Canis lupus familiaris: one gene and its partner. The protein of the gene in region 1 purifies or fractionates together with the protein of each later gene. This does not show direct contact. Links are inferred from orthologs where the notes say so. Each region holds a gene or a part of one and is shown on either strand. Other genes may lie near its edges.

Region 1 (3,587 bases):
ACACTTTATTCTCTTCCACCTTGTCATCCCCCATTCAAGTTTTAAACATTTACATTTTCATTTTACAGGTATGTAGAATGTTTTTATCAAAGTCCTTTGTTAACTGTGACTGTCGTATCTGCTTTCTGTTTTTATCCATGTAATTAGGGAAAACAGGTGAGTAATTAGGGAAAACATACCTCAAAACTTTACAGATGGGCTTCAGTCTGTGACTTTTTTTTTAAATTTTTAAAAAATTATTTATTTATTTATTTATTTATTTATTTATTTATTTATTTATTTATTTATGATAGTCACACACACAGAGAGAGAGAGAGGCAGAGACATAGGCAGAGGGAGAAGCAGGCTCCATGCACCGGGAGCCCGACGTGGGATTTGATCCTGGGTCTCCAGGATCGCGCCCTGGGCCAAAGGCAGGCGCCAAACCGCTGTGCCACCCAGGGATCCCCAGTCTGTGACTTTTTGAGTTGTTTGTAAAAAATAATCTTCGGATTCCATTTAGTTGTACTTCTTTTTAGCTCATATTCACTTTATCCCCAAAGATAGGATATATCCTTGTCACAGATCATGTGTTGAGCATCCAGATAGACTGTGGCCACAGGATTGCATTGAATGGCCAGTTTAGTAAAACTGTCCAAGAAGGAAATAACTCTGGTGTCATAGGGCTATGTGAACACATGCTGAGCTACATTGATTACTGTTTTTTTCTAAATGTTGAGAAACCATCTCTGATTCTAGATCTATCCAAGATAGACACCAGACTTCTTCTAGTGTTTTAAAAAATATTTTATTTATTTTTGAGAGACACAGAGACAGAGACACAGGCCAAGGGAGAAGCAGGCTCTCTGCAGGGAGCCCCGTATGGAACTTGATCCCACGACTCCGACTCTGGGATCATGACCTGAGCCAAAAGCAGATGCTCAACCACTGAGCCACCCAGATGTCCCTCTTCCAACAGTTATTATCAAGCTTGGTTTCATGGTTTTTCTTACATTCTTCTCAGTCTCAGTATATCATTGGTTGTGTGCTGTTCTTTCCAATTCTATTTCTTATCTCTTGTAAGCCCAAGATTATTAGAAAACTTTGTAGTTTCCCACACCAATGTCTGTGAGCATCTCCCTTATATTAGAATACTATGAAATTATTTTGTTAGATTTACACTCTTGAGAGCTTCCTAGCTCTGAAACCATTCCTAAATTCTTCCTAAGTTTAAAAAAACAAAGTTCTACCTAAAAGAAAATAATTTAAAATTTCCATTTCCCAGTCCAGGTAAATGCTAGATCTAAACAGTGTTCTAAACTGTTTACCAAGTTATTGGTTTGTAGCTGCTTTTCAGAGTGATTATGGATCCTTCTAGACCTTTTAAGTCTTCACCTCTAAATCTGTAAAACAAGAACATATGCCCCCTATGACTTCATGTGTTTCATAAACAGAAACTTACACTGTAGTGTTCTTTTAACTTTCTGGAGGCTATATGCCCTATCAGTTCTGGAAAATTAGTGGGTTGTTTGTTTTTTAGGAATAATCTGTTTACATGTAAAGTATCACTAAAGTAGATGCATAGAATTGTATGGAGGAATGCAGTAGTGGTGGGCAGGGAAGAAGAAGCAGTATTTATTAAGAGTACACTATGTGCCGGGTCCTGTTTTGGAAGTGATCTAAGTAAGTTAGTAATTGAGAGCTCATTGGAATGATCATTTGGGGCATGTTTGAAAGGTGGTTTTTGGTTGAAATTACAGTGCAATTTAGATTTTTCTTTTTTTCCTCTCACAGGAACAGTGAGCAGAATGAGTACCTCACAGGACCAGAGTGGCCGCTCCAGTAATAGAGAACCCCTTTTGAGGTGTTGTGATGCACGGAGGGACTTGGAGCTTGCTATTGGTGGAGTTCTCCGGGCTGAACAGCAAATTAAAGATAACTTACAAGAGGTGTGATGTGCGCTTTTTTCTTCTCTTGTCTGGGTTTTTAGCACAGGGCTGGTTAGAGCATGGCTAAGGACTTTGCTTCTCTGTGCTAACCAGGTTACACCCCATGTCTTGTTTGGTATGCCTGAAATGTTGGTGCCTTTGATTCCCAAAGGAAATTAAACAGATGGTAGAAGAGTCTGGAAAACCTTGTGCCACCTCAAAGATTTCAGTTCAGCATGCATTTTTTAATTGCTCCTCTTTGTGGTCCCTGTGCCAAGCACTGCCATCAATAAAAAAATAACAAAATGAATGAGTATTCTGCTCAGCTGTGTCCTTGATGCATAAAGGATGGTGCTGCATCATGGCCTCTACCAGCTTTTAACTTCGTGGTGGCATGGCTTTGTTGGTGGCATGTAATGTAAATCACTTTATCTGTTGAATCAAGTCAAAATGAAATCTCTTTGTTCCCTTGGCCTAATATTCTGTTGGTGAGTGGGAAGACCAAGTATTACATGATTTTGAAATACAACTTTATTATAGAAAAATTTTGTTTTAAAATAGTTTCTCATGCGGATTCTCATGGATAATTATAGGTGTTTTGACTTCTCTCCTTTGGATTTTTAGTATATATGTTGCTGAAATGAGCACTCTCCTTTGGATTTTTTATTTTTGTTCTTTTTTGAATCACTACTTCTGCTTTCAGAAACATTTAGTTTACAGGTTTACTTAAACTCTGCCCCACCGGTCTTCTGGCTGTTGACATGTAGTGGCACATCTCTTTATTTAATTGGCCTAATATAACTGGCTTGCTCATTCATAGAGTGAGAAAAGAGACAAGGGCTAGCTAGCCATTAAGTTAATACTTCTATCTTACTCCACTGACAAATTTGTAAGACTATATATGTTTTCAAATTCTATGAAAAACTTAGGGGATCAGTATTACATATCCTTTTTATTTTTTTCTTGATTATTTCAGGCCACCCAAATAAACCCGCTCCTCTTTGGATGGATGGGGTATGGAAGGAGGATTTAGAGCTTTTGTGGCTGAAATTCTTAAACTGGGTCTGTGGGCCTTTGGTGGTTCCATGGGTGTGCTACCGGGACCTGCAACCCCGAAATTACAGGCAAAATTTTGAGTATATGATACGTATTTTTCTGGAGAGAGGTTCCATATATATGATTGGATAATCCAAAGGATTTGTGACCCTCAGAAGTTTAAGAAACTCACCATTCTTGGGCAGCCCGGGTGGCTCAGCGGTTTGGCGCCGCCTGCAGCCCAGGGTGTGTGATTCTGGAGACCCCGGATCGAGTCCCACGTCGGGCTCCCTGCATGGAGCCTGCTTCTCCCTCTGCCTATGTCTCTGCCTCTTTCTTTCTCTCTCTCCTTGTCTCTCATGAATAAATAAATAAAATCTTAAAAAAAAAAAAAAAAGAAAGAAAGAAACTCACCATTCTTTAGGCTTATAACAGTAGTGAAGCTAATAGGTATGTGTTTACTAGGTCAAAGCCCAGATTCACAGCTGCATAAGCCGTCATCTGGAATGCCTCCGAAGCCGTGAGGTGTGGCTGTATGAACAGGTAGATCTCATCTATCAGCTTAAAGAGGAGACACTTCAGCAGCAGGCCCAACAGCTCTACTGGGTAAGGTGGCTGTAAGGCTATAATTGGTTTGAGTATGGT
Region 2 (4,179 bases), on another chromosome or scaffold:
CTTTTTCTTCAGACTTAGCTCAACTGTCACTTTCCTAGGGAAGCCTTCCCTGGCCTTCTATCCCAGACTGGATAAGGCACTCCTCGTCTACACTCTCCCACAGGCTTCTGCTTATTTTATTTTATTTTATTTTTGTAGTTTTAGACCTAAAAAAAATTTTTTTTTCCTGAAGGTAAAATGTTCATTCCGAAACGAAAACAGTAGAGACCCAAGAAAGAGATCACCAGAATTCCGTCAGCAACGAATTTTAACATTTTAGAGCCTGCCTTCTTTTTGTTGAGGTTGCGAAGTTCAGCTTAAGGTTTCATGTTTGTGAGCGTCCAAAGGGCCTCGGCGAGGTCTCCCAGCCGTGCGGAAGGACCTGGTGGCGAACAGTGGAGCTGGAAGCCGGCCGACAGGGCGGGCGCCTGGAAGGAAGGGACTCGGCGGCCCTGCCCTGCCCTGCCCGGTCCCGTGGACACTGTGCCCACCGGCCGCTCCGCAGGGGCAGCCCCAGGAGGTGGCTCCCCGGGAGATCTCCTCAGCTTGAGCCGGCTGTGGCCTGACCCGGGTGCGCCAAGGCAGCCGTTCCAAGATGGCTCCGTCTCCAGATCCCCAGTGGCTTCTCCTCCCTTTTCTAACCCGTCCCCGGATCTTCTCAGAAGCCCCGGGGGCTCGTCCCTCACGGCTCCCCCTCGAAGGCGCCCGCTCACCGCATCTCCCCGGGAACCACGGCCCGCCCAGCCTCTGTCGGGGAAGCTGCACCGGGAGCCATGTTGGCGAGGGTCGGGGACGGCCCCCGGGACCCCAGCCCGTCCGCGTGTCGCTCCCGGCCGGACCCTGAGGAAGGGAGAGCGAGCCCCTCCCGCCCCACCTCTAACTGACGCAACCTCCTAGGGCTCCCACTGCCACTTTCCAGGTGACGCCCGAGGAGATCCCCCCGGGTGTGGTAACTGCTGCCCCGCCGCCCGGACTTTTAACCTGCCCCCGGGGCAGGATGTCTCGGGGAGCCCGCCCGGACGGCTCAGGGGACACGTGCCGGCGGCTCCCAGCCCCGGGCGCCGGGGCTCCGCGCCCGACCCCGACCGCACTTCTTCCCCGCCCCCCCCCATCGCGGGAGCCGGGACGCCGAGGACACCCGCCCCGCCCCGCCCCGCGCGCGGCCACACGCCCGCCGCCTCAGCCCGCGCGGGGCCGCCCCTCCCCCACCGCCCCCAGGGCGGGGTCGCGCGCCCGCCGGAAGAGGCGGGGCTCCGCGCGCGGGCGGGCGTCTTGATTGGCTGGAGTGGGCGTGACGCCCGATCCCGCTATAAGAGCGGGGCCTCGGCGGTCTGCGCCAGTCTCCGCCGAGAGTCGCCGCGGCTTCCTGCTTCAACAGTGCTTGGACGGAACCCGGCGCTCGTCTCCCCTCCCCGGGCCCGCCGCTCAGAGCCAGCCCTCGGCCACCTCCACGCAGCGCTCTCGGACCGCCCCGAGGCCTCCGCCGCCGCCGCCCCAGCGCCGCGCAGCCGCCGCCGCCGCCGCCTCTCCTCAGCCTCCGCCATGACGACCGCGTCCCCCTCGCAGGTGCGCCAGAACTACCACCAGGACTCCGAGGCCGCCATCAACCGCCAGATCAACCTGGAGCTCTACGCGTCTTACGTCTACTTGTCCATGGTGAGCGCCGCTCGGCTCCGGGCTCCGGGCGGCGGGGCGGGGCGGGGGTGTGGCTGACGCTTGGGCCCTCCCGCCCCTGCTCGCCCTGCTGGAAAATGGACGCTGCTCGAGGCCTCTCAGGACGTGCGCAGAAACTCTGGCCGGCTCGGCCTTTCTGACGGCCCCCTGGGAGGGCTCCCTCTTAGTCAAGGGCCGCCTCTGCGCGCCGCTTCGTATTTAGAGAGAGCCTGGTTTCAAGGAATCCCCGACTTGCGGCAGCTGCAACCGGCACAATCCTGCAGTTAGGAAAGCGGGGTGTGCGTTTCCATCCTGTTCTCCGTGTCGATCACGTGGCCCCGAGGCTGTCCTTTTGCTTGGGTGACGGGGGCGAAGTGGTCCAGCCCCCGTCCTCCCTGCGACTGGCGGAGCCTGCTGGGTAATGGTGTCGAATAGCAACCGTTGGGGGCGGGGGTTGGTGCTCAGTGGCTTATCTCCCGGGGGCCGACCACTCTGGAGCAGCCATCGCTACCCGCTCTGTTCTGCTTATCGCCCAGTCCCACTTGAAGCAGGGAAATCTCCCCTTTTGCGCACACGGTTGTCTTAGTCATCCGTCCTCTTGCCCGGGCATTTAGTACTTTATCCTTTTGTGGCTGAACCCTTGGTTTTAGAATAAACTACACCAACAGTCACTGGGCAAGGAAACTTTCCGTGCTGATCGATGGAATCCATTTTCCAAAATCCTGGTTTTAGGCGGTGTGGTGGGCGTTTTCCTTAGGATTGCAAAAGAAAAAAAAAAAGAAAAAGGATTGCCTTACGATTGTGCAAATTATCTAAGAATAGACCTGTTCCAGATGAATTTGAAAATAGGCCTGGATTTCCGCGACTGCCATTCCATTTCAGGAACACCTGGATTCAGCGAGTGTCTAAAAACGGAATCAAGTTTTCTGTTTTCTGCTGGCAGTTTCTTTGTACAGCTTAGCGTTGCCAGCAGTTGTCACCTTGCCTAATGGGTTAATCTTAGAGATCCGTCAGTATGCTGTAAGCTGGCAAGCTCATGTTTTAACATGGGTTTAATCAGGGAGTTAGGGAGTACAGGGTAAATACTCCCACACCCTCTCCAATCAAATGCGACACTGGCCAGAAGAAGTTTGCTCTCATATAGGGCTTTAAGAATTTATCTGCTGGGGGCAATTCCCTATGATATTCTAAAGGTTCCTTGCAGTAAACTTTAAATGTCCAGGACTGCGTTTCATTTTTGTGTTTTAGAGTACAGACTAGTGTTGTGTTCTGTCCAAGAGCACAGCCTGTCCGCGGTCTTCAGTGCAGACTCCTTTCTTGCTGGACTTTGAGGAAGAAAGGCTAGGCTTGGCAATTCCTAACAGAACATGTTCGTGTTCTCTTTTCAGTCTTATTACTTTGATCGCGATGATGTGGCTTTGAAGAACTTTGCCAAATATTTTCTCCACCAATCTCATGAGGAGAGGGAACATGCTGAGAAACTGATGAAGCTGCAGAACCAACGAGGTGGTCGAATCTTCCTTCAGGATATTAAGGTGAACAAAACATCTTAGATCCTGTGTCTCATCTATCCGGCAAGTCCTTGGGTGTCAGAAATCCCTCAAGCTAGCAGTTGCTCTTATAAAATGAAGTACTTTTGGCTTCTGTGTTTTTTTAAGCCTATCTTCTAAGTTGAAGGAGGTGAACGGTAATGGGCACAAGGCTGTTAAGTTGGAAACCATTGTGGGAGAAACTGGGATGTCCCTCTTGCCAAAGCACAACGATTGCATGTTAGGTGTTTGCTGACTTGGGCAATAATAGGTAGAGGCTGTACGTGCATTGACCTGACCTCCTCTCCTCTCGTTCAGAAACCAGACCGTGACGATTGGGAGAATGGGCTGAATGCAATGGAGTGTGCATTACACTTGGAAAAGAGCGTGAATCAGTCACTACTGGAACTGCACAAACTGGCCACTGATAAAAATGACCCCCACGTGAGTGTTGGCAGTCTGGGAGAGAATGGAGGGAGTCATTTCCCTCTTTAGGGGTTGGGAAAGTGTACCGTTAACATTCTTCCCCATTCTGTCTTCTAGTTGTGTGACTTCATTGAGACTCATTACCTGAACGAGCAGGTGAAATCCATCAAAGAATTGGGTGACCATGTAACCAACCTGCGCAAGATGGGGGCTCCCGAATCTGGCATGGCAGAGTATCTCTTTGACAAGCACACCCTGGGAAACAGTGATAATGAGAGCTAAGCCTTAGGCTGTCTTCCCATAGCCGCAGGGTGACTTCCCTGGTCACCGAGGCAGTGCATGCATGTTGGGGTTACCTTTACCTTTTCTATAAGTTGTACCGAAACATCTACTTCTTTCGTTTGTATCATTCCTTCAAATAAAGTAATTTGGTACCCAGCTGTTGTTTCTTGAGTTCTTGGGATGGGCTAGAAATGTATTTAGTAGGTCATCTTTGTGAAATCTGCTGAGGTGTTGTAGTTCAGTCACAGTAACCAAAATGACATGCCTAGGGAGGGATTTGTGTTTTATTAAAGTCCTTAGTTAGGAAATG

The links.
Region 2: the proteins of NCOA4 (region 1) and ferritin heavy chain purify together in Homo sapiens (co-immunoprecipitation; 6 studies listed by BioGRID and IntAct, counting the BioPlex papers as one, with this or other methods). This does not show direct contact. The link is inferred for Canis lupus familiaris from reciprocal best matches to the Homo sapiens genes NCOA4 and FTH1.

The regions. Positions count from the first base shown.
Region 1 is NC_049249.1:1,952,183-1,955,769, reverse strand, and holds part of NCOA4 (nuclear receptor coactivator 4), read left to right. Parts: intron 1-1,773; coding exon 1,774-1,928; intron 1,929-3,407; coding exon 3,408-3,548; intron 3,549-3,587. UniProt on the Homo sapiens protein: Cargo receptor for the autophagic turnover of the iron-binding ferritin complex, playing a central role in iron homeostasis. Acts as an adapter for delivery of ferritin to lysosomes and autophagic degradation of ferritin, a process named ferritinophagy.
Region 2 is NC_049239.1:55,066,991-55,071,169, forward strand, and holds ferritin heavy chain, read left to right. Parts: upstream 1-1,342; 5' UTR 1,343-1,521; coding exon 1,522-1,635; intron 1,636-3,020; coding exon 3,021-3,167; intron 3,168-3,479; coding exon 3,480-3,605; intron 3,606-3,704; coding exon 3,705-3,869; intron 3,870-3,870; 3' UTR 3,871-3,960; downstream 3,961-4,179. UniProt on the Homo sapiens protein: Stores iron in a soluble, non-toxic, readily available form. Important for iron homeostasis. Has ferroxidase activity. Iron is taken up in the ferrous form and deposited as ferric hydroxides after oxidation. Also plays a role in delivery of iron to cells.